Ovis aries: one gene and its partners. The protein of the gene in region 3 interacts with the protein of the main gene of each other region in a pairwise test. Links are inferred from orthologs where the notes say so. Each region holds a gene or a part of one and is shown on either strand. Other genes may lie near its edges. The genes, in order: BMAL2, BMAL1 and EPAS1.

Evidence for each region.
Region 1: the proteins of EPAS1 (region 3) and BMAL2 interact in binary tests that used the Homo sapiens proteins (3 or more experiments, as listed by UniProt). The link is inferred for Ovis aries from reciprocal best matches to the Homo sapiens genes EPAS1 and BMAL2.
Region 2: the proteins of EPAS1 (region 3) and BMAL1 interact in binary tests that used the Homo sapiens proteins (3 or more experiments, as listed by UniProt). The link is inferred for Ovis aries from reciprocal best matches to the Homo sapiens genes EPAS1 and BMAL1.

What each region holds. Positions count from the first base shown.
Region 1 is NC_056056.1:188,138,545-188,145,172, forward strand, and holds the start of BMAL2 (basic helix-loop-helix ARNT-like protein 2), read right to left. Parts: upstream 3,555-6,628; 5' UTR 2,959-3,554; coding exon 2,820-2,958; intron 1-2,819. UniProt on the Homo sapiens protein: Transcriptional activator which forms a core component of the circadian clock.
Region 2 is NC_056068.1:39,064,585-39,070,627, forward strand, and holds part of BMAL1 (basic helix-loop-helix ARNT-like protein 1), read right to left. Parts: intron 5,607-6,043; coding exon 5,457-5,606; intron 3,030-5,456; coding exon 2,783-3,029; intron 1,450-2,782; coding exon 1,343-1,449; intron 8-1,342; coding exon 1-7. UniProt on the Homo sapiens protein: Transcriptional activator which forms a core component of the circadian clock.
Region 3 is NC_056056.1:77,967,300-77,973,342, reverse strand, and holds part of EPAS1 (endothelial PAS domain-containing protein 1), read left to right. Parts: intron 1-519; coding exon 520-667; intron 668-1,318; coding exon 1,319-1,533; intron 1,534-2,597; coding exon 2,598-2,788; intron 2,789-3,306; coding exon 3,307-3,417; intron 3,418-4,707; coding exon 4,708-5,198; intron 5,199-6,043.

The DNA of each region.
Region 1 (6,628 bases), about 110 Mb from region 3:
ACTATTTAGAAGAACCAAAAGGTGAGAATCATCCATGCTAAGCTTTTGAAATGGGGCAAAGAGGGAACAGAAACACCCATGATGACTATAAGTAAATCGGAGTCGTGGGAAACCATTCAGTTGCGATGCAGAATGTAATCAGAGTGATATAAGCACCTAACAATGCTACCCTGGTGATGACTATTCCAGAAAAGGCCAACCTTTCATAGGCATTATAACCTAATCCAGGGATGGGCAAGAGCAAGAAAAAGCAGCTCATCAGAATTTGTTCTACACTGAAACAGAAAATTCCCCTAACTTGGTCCAGGACTTATCCTCAAGAATAAGAAGAATACAGAGTTCAGCGTTTTCAACATCAGCAAGTTTCTCCAAAAGGCACAGAAACAATTTTGATGAGCTATACCCGCATCACTGTTACACAGGCAAATACAATTCTTGCAGGTCATGAGTACACAGAAAACATGCTGTAGACTATCATCATGATCTGTACTAACCAGGCATGACTTGATATGTCAGATTCGATACAGAACCTACAAAAGATATCATGGTTCCTCACCTCTAACGTATCAACAAAATAAGACACCCTCAGTTAACTCTGAGAAAGAGAATTCATCAGTGTTCACAGAAGTATTTATGTATCTTTTCACCCAGTGGTGATTATTCTAGAAAGAAGAAAGACCCTTTAAAGGGGATGAGAGGAGAAGCACTGACTTTGCAATAAGAAAATGCTAAGGCCCTACAAACTGAAACACAGTATGAGTTTAAAAAGTAATAAAACCCAACACACCATTAATGACTTTAATATTATTTATGTATTAACATACCATAGTTACAATGATGATCAGAATCCAAAGCTGCCTAACAAAAAATTACTTAAAACCTCTTGATAAAGAATTTGTCCTAGATGTCTTCTGAAAGTTGAGGTGTGAATCCGAATGTTCTTCTAAGATCAGGCTGCATGGTTTGTGACCCACATGTCCCAGAAGTAGCAATGGTTACTGCTGAAAGGAACTGATAGGCCAAAAGTGCTAGTTGAACTCAAGTTGAAAGGTAAAGAAAAGAGAATTGTCTTAAGCCACTAGCCTCAGGATGCATGGGAAATTGGGTTTGGTCTCTCTTTTCTAGGTCAGTGTTGTTGCCTGGATGGCTCATTAGAGAAGAGATGGCCTCCCTAGAAGTCCATATTGTTGTCTCCACAGTAGTGTGAGCATGGCCTACCTTTGGGTACCATGTAAGTCAGAGAGGAAATCCAATTCTCTACCCAGGAGGTTGAGGAGAGAAATAAACATAAAGCTGGCAACTGTGTTCAATTTTTCAATCAAAACTGTTTTCTAGATTTTGACAAAACAATTACTAATCGTCACAATCTTCTATTCATTTTAAACATATATTGATCTCTGTTCTGTAAAGTGTTCAAGTCTGCCCATCGTATACTGATCTCTTTTTTACAATCTGTCTATAAAATACCTATACTTTTGTTACCATCCAGGCTCAACGACAATCTCTTCTCCCTCTCTTCTCCTCTCCTAAGAAGAAAAGATGAAGAGGTATTTTGATGTACCTAAGTGTTTCTGCCTTTGAGTAACTTCTATGCCAGAGATCCTCTGCACTGAGTCTGAATCAACAAACATCTTCTGATGTTATCACACACAGGCGTTTGCAGGAGTGCTCTTTTAGGAATGTGTTCAGACGTGCATGGCAATGGAGTCCTTTGGGTTTATAAACCTTCCCTGCTTGTCTTGGAAGGCAAGGCTGATAGTTCTGTTCAGTCCTGCACCCTGGGGCTGCATAGGAAGGGTCTGCAAGGAGGCCTGGAGCACATGTCCATAAGAGGAGGACATCAGTGGCCATTACACTGGACAGTGGATGGAAGTCCAGAAACCTGCTTCCCAGCAGGCTGCAGCAGGAATAAATGAGACAGCACCAGTGACGGTTTTAAGAAGAAGCAGTGTGAAATGGATTTAAAGATAGAAGCAGCTACTTTTTTTCAGAGAAGAGAGGATGGGCGAAAGTAGTGGCCCAGATGCACCTGGAGGGAAAGCTAAGACCATATAACTAATCCTCTGGCAGGAACCAGGATCCCTGATGTTCTTTCTGGTCAGAAATATGCTGCAAGTAACATTTCAGGGTGATACAACTGGTCTCTTGCTGGCCAGGGACCAAAAAGAAGGTGCTCGGATCTTTCCTTCTGGAGCCTGTAACTCAGGTTTTCCTCATTTGCTGTCCTGCCGCATCACAGGTGGGAGGGCAGCGCTGGGTGACATTAACAAGGCAAGGACAGGTCAGTTCTTCCGTTCCCACTTTTCCCAGCCAGACCAGCACCAGTTCTTCCAAGCACATCACTGATGATTTTCCATATACACGTCTAATCTCTGTTGTCGATGACCCTCTTTGCTGCCTCCACAAGTTATCTATCCTTCAATACTAAACTTGACCCCTTCTCTGAAAGCCAACTCCCCCACAAACTAGATATAATTCTTCCCAAATGTAGGTGGAGAGGCTCACTCCTAGCAGTTAAACCATAGATTGTGCTAGGTTCTGTCTTTACAACACATATTTTGGCCGTTTTTCATCTCTCCTTTTATAAGCTCTTTAATCCTGCTTGTTTCATCCGTTTCTTTCTCTCTGTTTGCCTAGAACAGCAATATGCTTTATGAACAAACCAGCCCTGTCAGCACCTCAAACCAACAGTCACTTACAATCAAAAAGCTTGGTTAGGTATTTAATAAGTGCAAGGAGGTGAAGACTGTAAAGATGAGCCAGGTCCTACCCTGCTCTCTTAGGCATGTGCAACCCAAGGATGGAGCTAAGATACGTACCTAAACAAGGCATGGCAAGTGGGCACAGGGTTCTCGTAGGCACGCCAAAAACCACAGTGAGGAAATAGAAGGGAAGAATCATTTCCATCAGCGGGTAGGAGAAGTTCTGGGAAGGGTTCATGAGGCGAAGGAAACTCATCTGTTGAAGGTCAGATTTCACTAGCTTGGAATCATCTCATTTAATTGTCACATGACTCTTCAAGTTAGGTCATTTTTTACCGCCATGTTATAGACGAGGAAATTGGGGCTCAGAGAAGTTAAATAATTTGGTCAAGGTCACAGAGCTAGTATATTAACTGACACCCACACTCCCACTCCTGGAGTAGGCAATGGAAACCCACTCCAGTGTTCTTGCCTGGAAAATTCTACGGACAGAAGAGTCTGGTGGACTACAGTCCATGGGGTTGCAGAGTTGGACACGTCTGAGCACGCACACACACGTACTCCCACTGGGTCCAAAGTTCATGCATTTTCCTGCACCAGCTCTTCTGTTCCAGGGGTAGAAGAAACACAGTGACATCTGAGCTCGGCCTTCAAAACTACAGGAGAGCCCCTACAGGCCCATCTGGAGGGAGGACAGGGCAGTCTAGGAGCAGCCAACGGCCTGAGGAGAGGCCTGGACCATACATGGGAAGGCAGACTCCCTCACATAACTATGTAGGACATGTAAAGGAGAAGTACTGGAGAGGTGCCGAGAAAGCAAGCCAGTGGATGGTTCTCCACTTCGCCTGCGCTATCCTTGGAACAGAGGGCAAAGTGTATTTCTTATCTATGTAAAAAAATAAATGGGACTTCCCTTGCAGTCCAGCGGTTAAGACTCTGGGCTTCCACTGTAGGGGGCCTGAATTCAGTCCCTCATCCAGGAACAAAGATCCCACATGCTGTGCAGTAGGGCCAATAAATAAATAAATAAAATTAATTTTAAAATAACATTTAAGAAATTCAATTAAATATTGTAAGTAAAACATTTTGAATGTATTGGGAATTGCTGTTTTACGGCAATCATCTTGACCCTCAACTGTAAATCTCCTGTAATGCAAACCTGGGCTTCCCTTGTGGCTCAGCTGGTAAAGAATCTGCCTACAATGTAGGAGACCTGGGTTGGGAAGATCCCGTGGTCTAGGAAAGGCTAGGAATGGCTCCCCACTCCAGTACTCTGGCCTGGAGAATTCCATGGACTGTATAGTCCACGGGGTCGCAAAGAGTCGGACAGGACCGAGCAACCTTCACTTCCATGTCACCATAATGCAAACCAGGTTGAGCGGAAGAAGGATTCTCTCTGTGCTTCCTTTTCCTTCAGTCTTCTTTGTTTCGCTCTTTCGGTAAAGATACTATCTAGAGATTTAAATCATAAGATTAAAGAGAAACGAAATCCCAGAAATTTACTGAGATAAATGACAAATTTCCAATCATCCCCACCAACAACTAAGTATTTTCAAATGAGAATTTTAATATTATACATCTAGACTGATTTAAATATGTTAATTAGTTTCAAAGTATTTTAAGTTTAAAAACTGGGGGCTGAGTAGATGAGACACTTGCCTCTTGCTGGCTCACTGAGACCCTGGTGGTGCTGATGCTGACTAACCACCTGGATGCCAGGCACCGAGGTTTTCAGCCCAAGGCAACTGAAATTGGGGCTACTGAATGACATCTTATTATCTTGTTTATGATATCCTGAACATTATGCAAAGGAAGAGATTTCAAAAGGATGCTCTAATTAATGTTCACCACACAGAAAGAGATCATGCTTTTTCTTTTTCTTTTTTTTTGTCTGTGCTGGTGGTTCTTTGTTGTTTTGTCTGGGCCTTTTCTAGTTGTGGAGCACGGGAGCTACTCTTCATTGTGATGTGCGAGCTTCTCACTGTGGAAACTTCCCCTGTTGCAGAGCGCAGGCTCTAGGGTGCACAGGCTTCAGCAGTTGTGGCTTGTGAGCCCGAGAGCTCAGGCTCAGTAGCTGTGGCTCACAGGCTTTAACTGCTCTGCGGCAAGTGGAATCTTCTCAGACCAGGGATTGAACCCATGTCTCCTGCATTGGCAGGCGGTTTCTTATCCACTGTACCATGAGGGAAGTCCAGATCATGCTTTTCAGAATCAAGAAGTCTTTCCACAAGGAAAAAAGTATACTGAAATCACTGTTTACTAATATTTTGGCTTTCCCATGTATTTTAAACATTAGATTTCTTTTTTCCCTGGAGTCAAATTCTAATGCGTGGCAGTCCCTACCCTTCCTCCTCCCCTGCGTCTCTCCTCACCTCCATCCCTCCTCAGCCCTCCTCCAACCCGCCACCGCCACTGCCACCGCCACCGGGGATCAGCTCCTCTCCACTCCCCTTCTCCACCCTCTCCATCCTCTGTCTTCAACGTCTCTCTGCAGCTCTTTCCCTCTCTCCTCCTCTCTCTTTACTCCAACCCTTCTCTCACTCCTCCACCTTTCTCTCTTTTCCTCTCGCTTTCCTCCCCCTAAAACATGTCAAAAGTCATTTTTAGCCCATCTTGGTTTATCTTGAGTGACGCACATCAGACTGAAGGACTCGGACAAGAAGAGTAGTTTATGCACAGTGGACCAGGACGTGACTTTCAATATCTGAGTCACAAAAATGAATTTAAGCCACTACATAATTGCAGAACTACCCCTCATAAGAGCTGGGTATGATAACATCCCAGGTGAAAACAGGGGATGGTAAAAAGTGGGGGAAGGGAAGGTGAGACAGTTGCCCCTTGGATGCCTAAACCCAAGACGAAATCTGGCAATCAGCCCTGGTACATGTGCTGCTCTCCTGAGAATGCCTGCTCCCTAACTCCAAAGATTCTGGAATCATTTACCAGAAGGTGCCAGCCAGTCACTTGGCATGGCAGCTTGCTTAATCTTGTTGTTTACCATCAACCCATCAAAAACAAGTGAGCAGGCAATCATGTTAGGTACCAGCTGATTTTTGGTGGCCATCTTCAAAACCAGCTCCCTCAATGTTTTCAGCAGTATAATCAAACCATGGGGATTTTTTTCCATATCACCATTATTAGATTTTTTTTTTCCTTTGGGTTGCACTGCATGGCATGTGGGATCTTAGTTCCCAGACCAGGGATTGAACCCAAGCCCCCTGCAGTGGAAGCAGAGCCCTAACCACTAACCACTGGCCCACCAGAGAATTCCCTGATTTTCATTTTATTGTGAAGGCCTGAATGTCAATCTGCCTAGGAAAAAGGAATATGGAGGGATTTTGCGCCAGGGGGAAAAAACCCATGGCCCTGGATTCTGACATAGAGACCTGTTTTGTTTTTTCCCTCCAGGAATGGGAGAAGTTGCAACCATAATTCTCCCTCTTTAGACAAAGAGAGTGTCTGGCAGTGAGCACACTGCCCATTAACCATCCAAGCAGACAGGAAAGAAAGAAGAGCAGCCCAGCCAGGAGCCACAGAGTTTAACTTCAGGTGTGTTTGTCAATTTCTGGCTACAGCTTCAGTTTTTTCACCTCATCGATGAAAGGGAGATAGTATCACCCACATCACAGGGCTGGTATGAGGCCAAGAAATGCCTGGTACATAATAGGAGTTCCATAAACGCTGGCCCTCTGAGGCCCCGTGGAGACTTTGTTCCTCTTACCAAAAAAAGATTAAATTTGATCATCCCCAAGTTAACATCTGGTATGCAGCTAAATAGCAATAAACTCTTTGTCCAAAAACTTGTCATAAAGACTTACCTGGTATAAGCCATATTTTGAATTAGCAGGTGCATTTTCATACCCTCCTTTTTCAGAAAAGCCCAAATATTTGGCCAATTTTAACTTGAGGGCAACAACACACTTAAG
Region 2 (6,043 bases), on a different chromosome or scaffold from region 3:
TGTAAAACTGAAAATATAAAGAAACCAGGAACATTGCTGTTTCCTCAGAACAATGCATTAAAATAACCAAATCCTAAATGCGCTCAGGCTTCAAGGCCATCCCCTCTTTAATAAGCCATGGGAGGTGGCACTTCAGAGAAGAGGGTGTTTCTGAGGGCCTGATTTCTGAGCCTTCCAGTTGGGTTGTGAACCTGTCACTATTCAGAGTGTATGAAATAAAGGAAATAACAGTGCATTCTAGACATCTAGCTGGATTCATCTATGAAGTGAATGCCACACAAGGCGGCTCAGTCCACAGGGACCATGTAATCTCCCCATCATAAAGCCTGAGGACATCCGGATTCAGATGGCATCTCACCCATGGAAACCTCATTCTTTCATGTAACAAACATGTAGCAAGTATGCTTCATGTGCCAAGTACTGGAGATAAAAGAGGAGACAGGATATGACTTGCACCCTCAGGAGAGGAATGAGGGACAGCTACGCAGAGGAGATCAGAGCCTTCAGGGGTGAATACAAGTTTGCCAAAAGGAAGGAGGGAAGAACCCAGTGCTACCCGAGGAGTGGCAGGGCCTGGGGTGGGAGTGGGAACAGTGAGATGTCAGTGCGTCTGGAGGACAAGGCCTCTGCAGACAGGGACTGGGTCGGGAGGTGAAGCTGGGGAGGTGGCTCAGGGCCAGGACGTGGAGGGTCTTGAGCATCTGTCAAAGGTGACTGCGCAGGGGGTTTTGAGCACAGATGTGACTGTCAGGCTCAGTCTGTCAGAGCATAAGCGGGACAGCAATAGAAGATGGACTGGCGGGGCAGAGGCAAGTCCATCACAATTATCAGGTGGGTACCAGGGCTGCATCAGGGGCTTGGCAGAAAGGGGCCTCCTTGGAGATGCATGGCTGAGATGAATGAACAGTTCCGACGGAGGAAAGAGTAAAGAAGGGAGTCAATGTTGGCTGCTGTCTCAGGAGGCTATGTACGTGGCCACGTCATTAACCAAGAGGAAAATGCAGGAGGCGGTGCAGGGATTTGTAGGAAATTAGATCCGCTTGGGCCACACTAAATCTTTACATAGTCCAGGGAAACCCTCTGAACCAGAGGTGCCTTCCAGAAATTGCTCCAGCCCATGTAGAGATCTACTAGGCAGTCGGGGTGGGCGGTTATCTGGAAGGGGGTAGATGAGGCCTGGGGGAAGGAGCAGCACCCTCTCCTCCCAGACATTCTGGCCTGCAGGTCCCTGGGCTGGCTGACTCCCACCTCACAGGGGCAGATTTCTCTGCAAGGGTCCATGGACATGTCTAGAAGGAGGACACTTGAAACTTCAGAACTGGTGTACAGCCCAGCAGCTAACCTTGCCTATGACATTCTGCGAGATGTCCTATGTCATCTTGGTGGAAATACTCATAACACGACGTGCCTAGAAGTTCTTGTGGTAGATATGCCAAAATAGCTGTTGCCCTAAAAGGGAGAAAAAAAATTTTTTTTTAAATAAAATAACATTCAGACAATTAACAGATCTCTGCAGTGGATGACTCCTGCTACAGCCAATGAAAACAAGGTCAAAGCTGGGGGGGTTCAGAGGGCTTATTACATGGGTTTTGTTCTTTCTCATGAAGCTGACTTTAATCGGGGTTATAAAAACAGAGAGAGAAAGCAAAGACTTTCAAAGGGGCTGTTAGCACAAGACATCAAATTTTAGGTTTAAAAGTAGTAACTTTTAGATTAAAAAAAAGTGATAGGACTCTAAACTCCAGGTCAAAACTTCTCCAATTTACTGCCTGCTTTTTATCAGAGTGACCAGAAGCCCCAGTCGTGGGGCCCACAGGGACCTTGAGAAGCGGCTGCCTCCTTTTCTAGTATTTAGTGACTGGCTATTTCCAGTGGCCAGAAAAATTGCTAGCCTGTGGATACTTGTAAGGAAGCAGCAGAGAGCAGTGGAAATTTGGGTTCTTAGCCCAGGTCTACGGCCAATGAGTTACGAATCTCGGAGGGGGCTGGTCTTCAGGCTGAGCCTCTGTTCATCAGCCATAAAGAATGAGACCAGACTAGATCAGTGTTGTCCAGCAGAACTTTTTGTGAAGACAGAAATGTTCTGTTCAGGTACCATTAGCCACTGTTGCTGCTGTTTAGTCGCTAAGTTGTATCCAATCCTTTGTGATCCCATGGACTGCAGCCTACCAGGCTCCTCCGTCTATGGGATTTCTCAGGCAAGAATACTGGAGTGGGGTGCCATTCCCCTCTCCAGGGGATCCTCCTGACCCATGGATTGAACCTGCATCTCCTGCCCTGGCAGGCAGATTCTTTATAGCTGAGCCACCAGGGAAGCCACATGTGACTACTGATACTTGAAATGTGGTTAGTGAGCTGGGGGAATTTAAATTCACATTTTAACTTTAATTGATTAAATATATGGGGTTACTATAGCCAATGACTACTGTATTGATAGCTCAAGACCAGATAATCTTTTCAAAGTCCCACATCCCAGAACTCACATTACAGTAATTAATGGAACACTCCATAGATTCAGATAGCATGTTATGCCTATTATTTCTCTCTTAGCCACGGACATCAAGCCACCCCACTTCACTGTCTCTACCTGCCCAAGAATGACATGGAGAAAATTTCTGTATTTATGATGATAACCCACTAGGTCTCATTTTTCAGCAGATCCACCCGTCACTTCCTCCTCTCTATCCTTAAGAAAGGCAGCCAATGGCCCAGTCTGCTCTGCTTTACTCAAGGTTGAAAATCTGCTGCCAAGACAGTCCAAGGGTAACGTGCAGACTCTTACCTCTGGTCTACAAAAACAAACTTCCCATCTATCGCGTGCCGGGAGACATATTCCATTGATTTCACCCTGATTTCCCCATTTGCCGGTTGTGGAACCATGTGAGAGTGCAGCCGTCCGATGGCGACAAGGCAGCTAAGATTACACCCCTCATTGTCTGGTTCGTTGTCTTCATCCAGCCCCATCTTTGTGGGCGGCCAGCTTTTCAAATAGCCTGTGCTGTGGATTGTGCAGAAGCTTTTTCGATCTGCTAGAAAGCAAAGTCCGATGTCAGTGGGGCTTTGGGGCCTGGAAGCACAGGCAGCCTATCGTGCATTGAGATGTAGGGAGGGACTGAAAATATAAAAATCAAAGTCTACTGTCCAGAAGATAGCATCAAGTGAAAGAGAAAGACAGAAAGATCAGGCATGATCCAGTGTCATGTGTGTTTCGTAGCAATGATGACACCAAATGGGCATCACGTACACCAAGGAAGGAGCAGCACAATCCCCCTGGCAGAGGAAGGCTGCCCAGAAGATCTGTGTAGGAGGAGAGCTGGGAGGGATGGGCACCGGCTAAAGGACCAGAATGTGTAAAGGCTGAGAAGGTACAAAGACCCAGAGGGGCATCCTGTACAGCAAACAGCACAGTGCTCCATGCAGGTGAAGTGAAAAGGGAGGTGCTGGGGGTAAGTGCTGGGAAGGTAGGTTGGCAGCATACTGTTGGGGCCTTGGATCATTTGCTCACAAAGGTGTTAACCTTTTCCAGACTGGAAATGGAGAGTTTCCAAGGGCACTTACAGTGGGGAAACAGCAAAATCACATCGTGATTTGGATGCTTTAATGACGGGGGGCGGTGGGGGACTGGAAGACAGTAAAAGCCAGGAGGAGGATAGTAATCAGCGAGAGATGCCAGGGACTCACAATGGCAGTGCTGTGGAGATAAGGGGGAGGCAGAAAGGACGCAGGGGAATTTCTGGGCTGAACTTTTGGGATCTGGTCTGAGTATCAAATATTTGGGATGAAAAAAGAAAACACAGATGAGTCCAACTTTTTCGGATTGAGTGGTTACAGGTACAATTTGTTGACTCAGGGGAGAGAATACAGAGTGTGTTTTAGAGGAGAGGGAGAAAGATTTCAGTGTGGGACACGTTAAGCGTGAAGCATCCGTGAATTTCAACAGTACACATATTTTTTTTTGTTGTTGGCGGGGGCGGGCTGCCTTGTGTCGCAGCTCGCAGGACCTTAGTTCCCCAACCAGGGCTCAAACCTGTGCCCCCCTTGCCGTGGAGGACTGCCAGGAAAGTCCCAGTAGACACATTCTTATGGAATGTTTACCAAGCATCGGGTCTGTGCTAGTTACTGGGAAAGAGTGGACAACAAGTCAGGCACGCCTCTGTGGAATTTAGTCTAATGGGGGGGAGGTACTTCAAACAAATAACCCACAAATGACTCCATAACTGCAATGGGAGCAAGTGTCACAAGGAAAACCTGCAGGGTGTGCCATGCAGACAGAAGGCAGTCTGAGGGACTGAGCGACAGACATCGGGGTCCACTCTGAAGGGGGGTTTGCAGAGAGCCAGGGAGGGGAGCTGGTGGCGAGGGAGGCACTTCCTTCAGAGGTGACACCACGTGTGCAGATACTGAGTGGAAAGGGGTTGGAGGCATCAAACGGAGGTCTGCACGGCTCAAACCTATGGAGGAGTGTCAAGGGAGAGCGCTACAGGGTCACATTAAAGATTTTAAACTTTTCTTCAAGAGCAATGGGAACCAATGAAGGGTTTGAAACAGGGGACAGATACAAAGATTTGCTTTTAGAAAGGTCACTCTGGCCATGGGAAAGGCTGGAAAGCGTGAGGAAAGTACTTCAACAGACTTATGAGACCCAGGACAGCCTCGATCGAGTAATGGCAGTAACAAATACACTTCTTCAGGAGTGACTCATAGCAGCAAGAACCCTAGGCCAGGGCGGAGGGAAACGGGGAGACGGTGTCTCCCAGGCTCTCAGCACACACAGCTCGATGCGAGGAGCTGCCGTAACATTCCAGAGGAAGCCTGGGTGGTTACTTCTATGCCTATCACCTATGAGATGCTCTAGAGATGTCCAAGCAGGTAGATTAAATAAGCAGTTAGTTTACAAATCTGGAGTTCAAAAGAGCAGTGTGGGCTAGAAATATGAACCTGGAGATTACTGGCATATAAATGTCATTGAAAGCCACATGGGTGGGTGACATTACCTATGGACTGTTGTATGTATCTACTCCTCTTAAGAGGGCTGGAAAGGAACCAACAGAAAGAACTCAGAGGAGAGTTCAGAGCGGGAGGGGGCAGCAAGGTGAGAAGAAACACTTCACCGTGGAAGAGAAATGGCATGTCCGCTGCTCCTAGCCGCCTGTAGGCACTGGTGAACCTAGGGTAACTCTGGCGGGCGCTGGGGACACAGGGAACTGTGACTGAGAATACTCTTCCCGAGCCACACGAAAATGAACAGAATTGAAACAGAGGAAGACTTTCCACGAATCTGTCAGGGCTTCCCGCCTCCCTGTGGCTCCCCAGCTGCCCTCACCGAAGCAGGGCCACAGAGGTCCTGGCTGCAAACCTGTGACCCACCTGCTCTGAGCCCACACCCTACTGAGAGCCCCTCTGTGGAAAGGCCAGCCTCACCCGTGAAAGGATTTAATGAACTCTTAAGTGGTTACCTTTTTTCTTGGAGCAGGTGGAGGGGAAATCCTTGTCTTCCACTTTTACTGAAGGCCTGTTACACTTCATCCTACAGAAGAAAGAACGCCGTGCTCCAGAACATAATCGAGATGGCCCAGGGGTTATATCTGTTTTAACTGGAAGTCCAGCTGCAAATCAATACACAAAACGTGATAAACTGAGGGTCGTGTTGTCTGTCAGGCAGGGGAGCATGCCCTTGAAGAAAGCCTTTTCTTTCCTGCCTCTCTGTTCTGTAACAGGGGCCTGACAGCAACACTCCTCCTCACAGGCTTGCACAGATGCTCTGCACATGGGGTGCTGTCGGCCTGCCGGTCTTCTAGAACATGCAGAATGCAGCTACTGATGGATGGACTACGCGCTCCGGGGAACAAAGAAATACACACGGGACCCTCTTCTCAGCGGGAGCTGAGGGGGGGGAAATGGAAGCTGACCGGACGGACTGTGCTCATGCCACACATGGTGTATGACTGAAAAGTGCCAAATAAAGGGCAGAAACCACCGGTGTTTCCCTGAGGAGGCAGAAAGTGGGCCGGGACCTGGAGAGTGGGCAAGGTCTGGACACTGG
Region 3 (6,043 bases):
AAACCTTTTGTGGCCCTAAAGGTGGCGGGTCTGACCAATGACTTGAAACAATCAGGATATCGGTTTTGTGTTTTTAAAACTGCCTATGTTCACATGCAGAGCGTTGATGGTGGGTCTGCTACCAGCAGCTGCCGAGAACAGGCATTCTCCACGCTGCCTGCAGGTTCCCCCCACCTGCAGTGCGGGGCAGAGGAGGTGCTCTTGCACCCCAGGTGCACGCATGGATCTGCTGGTGCCCCGTGGAGCAGCTTCCTCTCGTTGACCTTGAGGGGAAAGAAGAGCAGGTGCTGTTCTTGGTTTCCACTCACAGCTGAGCCGGTGTGAGCTGACCTGTCAAGGGTTGGCCATGGCCGCTCCCTTACAGCCAGCCTAGGGACGTCAGCTAACCTCTCTGGACCGCCTTCCCCACGTTTAACATGAAGTGTTGGGCAAGACGCTCTCAGCGCCCTTTCCCCCCGCATCTTTTCCCATACACTGCCCTTGCCTCCCTGACCTCAGGCCCCGTTTCTCCTCCCCTAGTGTGCACCAAGGGTCAGGTGGTGAGCGGCCAGTACCGGATGCTTGCCAAGCATGGGGGCTACGTGTGGCTGGAGACACAGGGGACGGTGATCTACAACCCTCGCAACCTGCAGCCCCAGTGCATCATGTGTGTGAACTATGTCCTGAGGTGAGTGTGTGAGGGCTGGGGGCCACAAGGCTGGGGCTGGGGTGTTCCTGAGACTGACAGTGCGACCCAGGGACACCAGGCTCCTCAGAACCCGGGCACCACACCTTAGAGTCCTTGGCGGTGGGCATCCTGGGAACAATGGGACATTGGGATTTCCCTTTGATGGCACTTTTTCTGCCCCTTGCCTCTCGTCTGTCATCTGTCACGCCTCCACCCTATGTGAGGGAGGCAACTAGAACACAGATGAAGCCTAACCTGTTTTCTGAATGAGGATCAAGGGAAGAGAACTGCTCATACTTTTGGGGAGCAGACGTAACACCCTAGCTATGTAGAACTTGGGAAGACAGCTGGAGAAAGGCAGTGCTGGGGTGAAACAAAAGCAGAAGCCTTCATGTCTGTGCACACCACTCAGTCCATGTACAATATAAAAACAGCATCCAAGACACATACATATTGTGAGGCTCTCTTGGCATCGCTAGGCTCCAGGACTCCAAACTACCATCGTGCAGTTCTTTACAAAATGCTAACACACTGTCCATATCCATGGTTTTATCTGAGAGGCTTAGCTGTCAGGGCTTCAGTGTGTCTGGGAGAGCAAAAGGGTTTTGATGGAAAATGTGGAGGGTCTGAAGCTCCCTCTCATCTCAACAGTGAAATTGAGAAGAACGACGTGGTGTTCTCCATGGACCAGACAGAGTCACCGTTTAAGCCACACCTGCTGACCATGAACAGCATCTTTGATAACAGTGGCAAGGTGGCTGTGTCTGAGAAGAGCAACTTCCTGTTCACCAAGCTGAAGGAGGAGCCCGAGGAGCTGGCCCAGCTGGCACCTACCGCGGGAGACACCATCATTTCTCTGGATTTCGGTGGGTGCATCTTAGCTAGGCCAGGGCAATCAAACCCTCTTGGGGTGGGGGAGGCCTCCCTGGCACAGGTTTCCCTTAAGCAGAGCTGCCGTGTACCTTCTCCGAGTCTTGCTAATCCTCCATTAGTGTGGCCAAACCATGTGCTGTGCACACGCACTCACCGTGCTCGGGACTGCCCCATGTCTCACCTCTCAAGGCACCGATCCAGGTGGGATCCGGTTGATTCTGCATCATGGGCAGTGGGAGTCTGAGAGGAGAGGTCTCGGGGATCTGCTCTGAGGCCGTGGGCATATTTTCACAGAGTGGGCAGATCTCCACCTTGAAAGACAGATTGTGTGTTTAGGCAGAAGGCTTCTAGGTTGAAATAATGTTGGGAGAAATCATCCCAGAAACATGGATGGAGAAACAGATTCGGGCCCAGCAGTAAGTCCTTACATGCACGTCTTTAAACGTCTACCTGTCCCCTGGGGATGCGAGTCCTGGTGGCCCCAGCAGGGTTTCCAGCTCTTAACCCTTGCTCTGTACCTGCAAGGCCCCTTCCTCTCCATGTGGCAACTGACCACCATCACCCCCAGCCTTACTGTGGCCCCTCAAGGAGTAGCTGTACCTCCCTGTACTTGCTCTGAAGTGGCTTGGCCTTGCTAGACGTGTTCTTGAGAAGCCACAGGGGAGTCGTGACTGCAGAGGGTCACAGAGGGCAAACCTGGGCCAAGGAGTCATGCAGCGTCCCAATTTTGTGGCAATAACGAGGTGACTTGCCCAGCTCTCATAACCTTCTCCTCTGCATTCTAGATTGTCCTTCAGGGAAGAGAGGCAACTGATACATTTAATCTCTGAAAGTTAGCGGCTCCAAGAGGATGTTCCCATTAAACAGAGTCTGTACATTGAAGCAAAGCCCTGGTTGAAGGCCTCTTTAACCCAACCAAGCCTCAGTGCACCAGGGCCTAGCCCCAGGCACGCTGCAGACCCTTTTCGGAACTCTTGTGCATCCTTCGGGCTTCCTCTGTCCTGGGGGTGAGCCCAGTGGTTGTGGGTGCTAACCAAGCCAGGCCCTGTCTCCACAGGGACCCCGAACTTTGAGGAGTCCTCAGCCTATGGCAAGGGCATCCTGCCCCCAAGCCAGCAGTGGACTGGAGAGGTGAAAAGCCACGGCACCCACAGCGAGGCCGGGAGCCTACCCGCCTTCACCGTGCCCCAGGCGGCCGCCCTGGGGAACAGCACCCCGAGTGCCAGCAGCAGCAGCAGCTGCTCCACGGTGAGCCCCCTGCCTTGGGTTGAGGTCATGGAGAGGGTGCGCTCCTCTGGCCGCGGCCGGATGGCTGAGTGGACAGGCCAGGCCCCAGTGCTGCGCTCCTCTTCCTCAGGTTTCCTGCAGACCCCAAAGGTGGCCGTGAGACTTGCCTGCCACATATTAGATGCTTGCTGTTGGCTCTCCACCCCCATCCACAGAATAAGCTCCTTGAAGACAGGGGCTAAGTCACTCATGGCTGTGAGCCCTGCACTCAGTCTCCATGCAGGACAGTAACCATCCTGCAGGGCGCAAAGGGCCTGGCCAGCCATGCTTCTGTCTGGCTTGTTCTTCAAGACGGCCTCATTTTATGGTGAGGAGACTGAGCTCAGAGAGGTTCACACAGCTCATATGGAGTGGCCTCTCTACAAATCCTGTTCCATGGAATGGAGTTGACTCTGAGATGTATTTCTCCTTCCACCTTGGACTTCTGGGGAAAGCAGTGCCATAGCCTTGACTTGGTCACCTTCCTTCCTGGCCCCTAGCCCAGTAGCCCTGGAGACTATTACACATCTCTAGATGACAATCTGAAGATTGAAGCAATCGAGAAGCTCTTTGCCATGGACACGGAGGCAAAGGACCAGTGTGGCACCCAGGTATGTAGCCCTGGAGAAGATCGGGATGGTGCACCAGGCCTGCCTGCCGATGCTGTGAAGGCTTATGCCCATTCTTGCAGCCTCGGCCCTTTGTTGCAAAGACTAGTGGGAAAGCTTGGCCAACGCCATAGTCCCTTAACTGGGTGAGAGTGCAAGGAAATGGAGCCTGTGGTCGCCTGCTTCTCCCACGTCTGCCTTCTGCTTTACCCGTGTCAAATGCAGCTCTTTTTAACTCTCCATATATTTATGTCCACTAACTTGGCTATTTATTAGTGCTCAGAAAGCCAAAACTACAACTGAACCTTTCTTTAAGGAGCCCTGCATTTAAAAAGCATCCCCAGATGTCCAGATGTGTAAGACTTTTCTAAGCACAGGGAACAATTCCCTTTATATACATTTTCATTTTAGGATTCTTTGAAATAACTTATGTTAAATGCATTTTAAAATGACATCTGACAAATTTTTATTTACACATAACTTTTCAGAAACATATTACATAAGGCCAAACAGTCTTGTAAAACCTGTGTAAACAGGCTAGGGTGTGGGTGGATGGTATGTGTGTCACAAAACCCAAAGGAAATGTATTAATCCCTATTTGTCTTACTCTGGGTTATTCATCCAAATTTCTACCTTGCCTCCTCAGTTTGTGTCTTTATTCTGCGATCTTTCCCTACTTCAACCCTGCACTTTCTTCTCTGAAGTCTAAGATTTATTCCTTGAAAAGAGAAAGTGTGTGACTGGCTGCTGCTTCTCTTTAACCATCTCATGCAGTTGTAACCATTAATAAGCTACCTTCCCCCAGGGAGGGTTGAAATGTTTGTTTTGCTGCATCTGCTTGTGAGGATTCGCTATGGTGCCCATACTGGGATCATGGGGGCCACCTCTGCTTCCTTGTTGATCTGAATGAAGGTCCCACAGAGAGCACTGGGCCACGGTTACCCTACGAGCCGTCTACAGATACACCCTGGGCACGGGCGGGAGATGAGGACAAAGCTGCCCTTGGCCCCCAGGAGCCATCGTGCTCATCAGAGTAGGCAGGAATGAAGAGGTGGGGCCGACACCAGTGGGGTGTGTGGAAGAATGACTGAGTGGAAGGCTGGTAACGTGTGTCAGAAAACCTTCCACACTTTGAGGACACACGTGTGCTTTCCTCTCTTGGGCCCCCAGCTTCCAGGCTGTGCAGGAGGAATGCCTCGGGTGGGGGTGGGGGAACGAGGGACTAAGATGAGGCAGCGTCCTTGAGGCAGCACCCACTGCTGAGCTGCTTTGCCCCTGCTCTGTGTCTTCTAGACTGACTTTAATGAGCTGGACTTGGAGACCCTGGCGCCTTACATCCCCATGGACGGAGAGGACTTCCAGCTTAGCCCCATCTGCCCCGAGGAGAGCCTCCTGCCGGAGACCCCCCAGTCGACCCCGCAGCACTGCTTCAGCACCATGTCAAACATCTTCCAGCCACTGGCTCCGATGGCCTCTCACAGCACCTTCCTCCTGGACAAGTATCAGCAGCAGCTGGAAAGCAAGAAGACGGAGCCTGAGCAGCGGCGCGTGTCCTTCACCTTCTTTGATGGTGGCAGCAAGGTGTCCCTGCTGCAGCGCTGCGGCCAGACCTACACCCCTCTCTCCTCCATGGGAGGCATATCCAGCACACAGTGGCCCCCTGACCCGCCATTACAGCTGGGGCCCATGAAGTGGCCTGGCGAAGATCAGCACGCAGAGGCCTTGGGGACAGTGCCCCTGGGGGCCCCCATTGCCACACCCCATCTCGCCACGTTCAAGAAGAGGTCAGTGACAGAGGCGCTGGGCTGCATAGGGGAGGGGGTACAGACAGGTGCCCACTAGGGGCAGGTATGGGGCTCCAAAAGGCCCCTTGCCCCATCACCAGTTTCCATTCGACAGCGGTCCAATATGCCACGTGGCCCTTCTCTAAACTTTAGGGGATTCGCCCTAAGATACGTGAGGCCTTGAGTGGGACACGTTTTATCAGAGCTGGAGGAGACCAAGAGGGAACTGCAGACAGGGAAAGGGAAGGAAGTGGCTTGTCCTGGGCCCTGCATACCAGTGGCTTCCTGAACTACCCCTTCCTTTTTTTATTCAGAGTTCATGATCTGAGCCACAGACCACCCACACACACAACATGGAGGGACATTTCCTCAGTTCAAGTGTGGAAGCCTAGTTGAGAAAAGTGAAAAGATGCCCCTGCCTTCCCCCTGACTTTGGTTGCCAGAGTCCAGCAGCGCCCTCCCTGGCCTGCCTCCTCCCAGCACCTGCCAGCATCCACCACCCCCACAAGGCCCTTCCAACCCCTGGGAGCTTCCCTGGCTGTCCCATGGTTGGAATAGGCTTCAAGTTCCCAGGGCCCATTGGATAGGCTTCCCTGAGGCCCTTGCCTTTTCCAGGGCATCCTCCCTTGTCCCTGGTGGGGAGCAGTCCAAGCAGAGCAGGGGAGATGGGGCAGAAGCGGCCCTTGCAAAGACAGCTGTCACAGCTGGGCGGCCACAAACCAGGCCAGGACCAAAGGCCGCCGGGGGCCAGCCAGGCAGATAGACACGTGTGGAGGGAGGTGCAGACAGCTGAGCCATCAGTGTCTACCAGGCAGGGCACACTGAGGACAGGGAGAGCTCCAGCC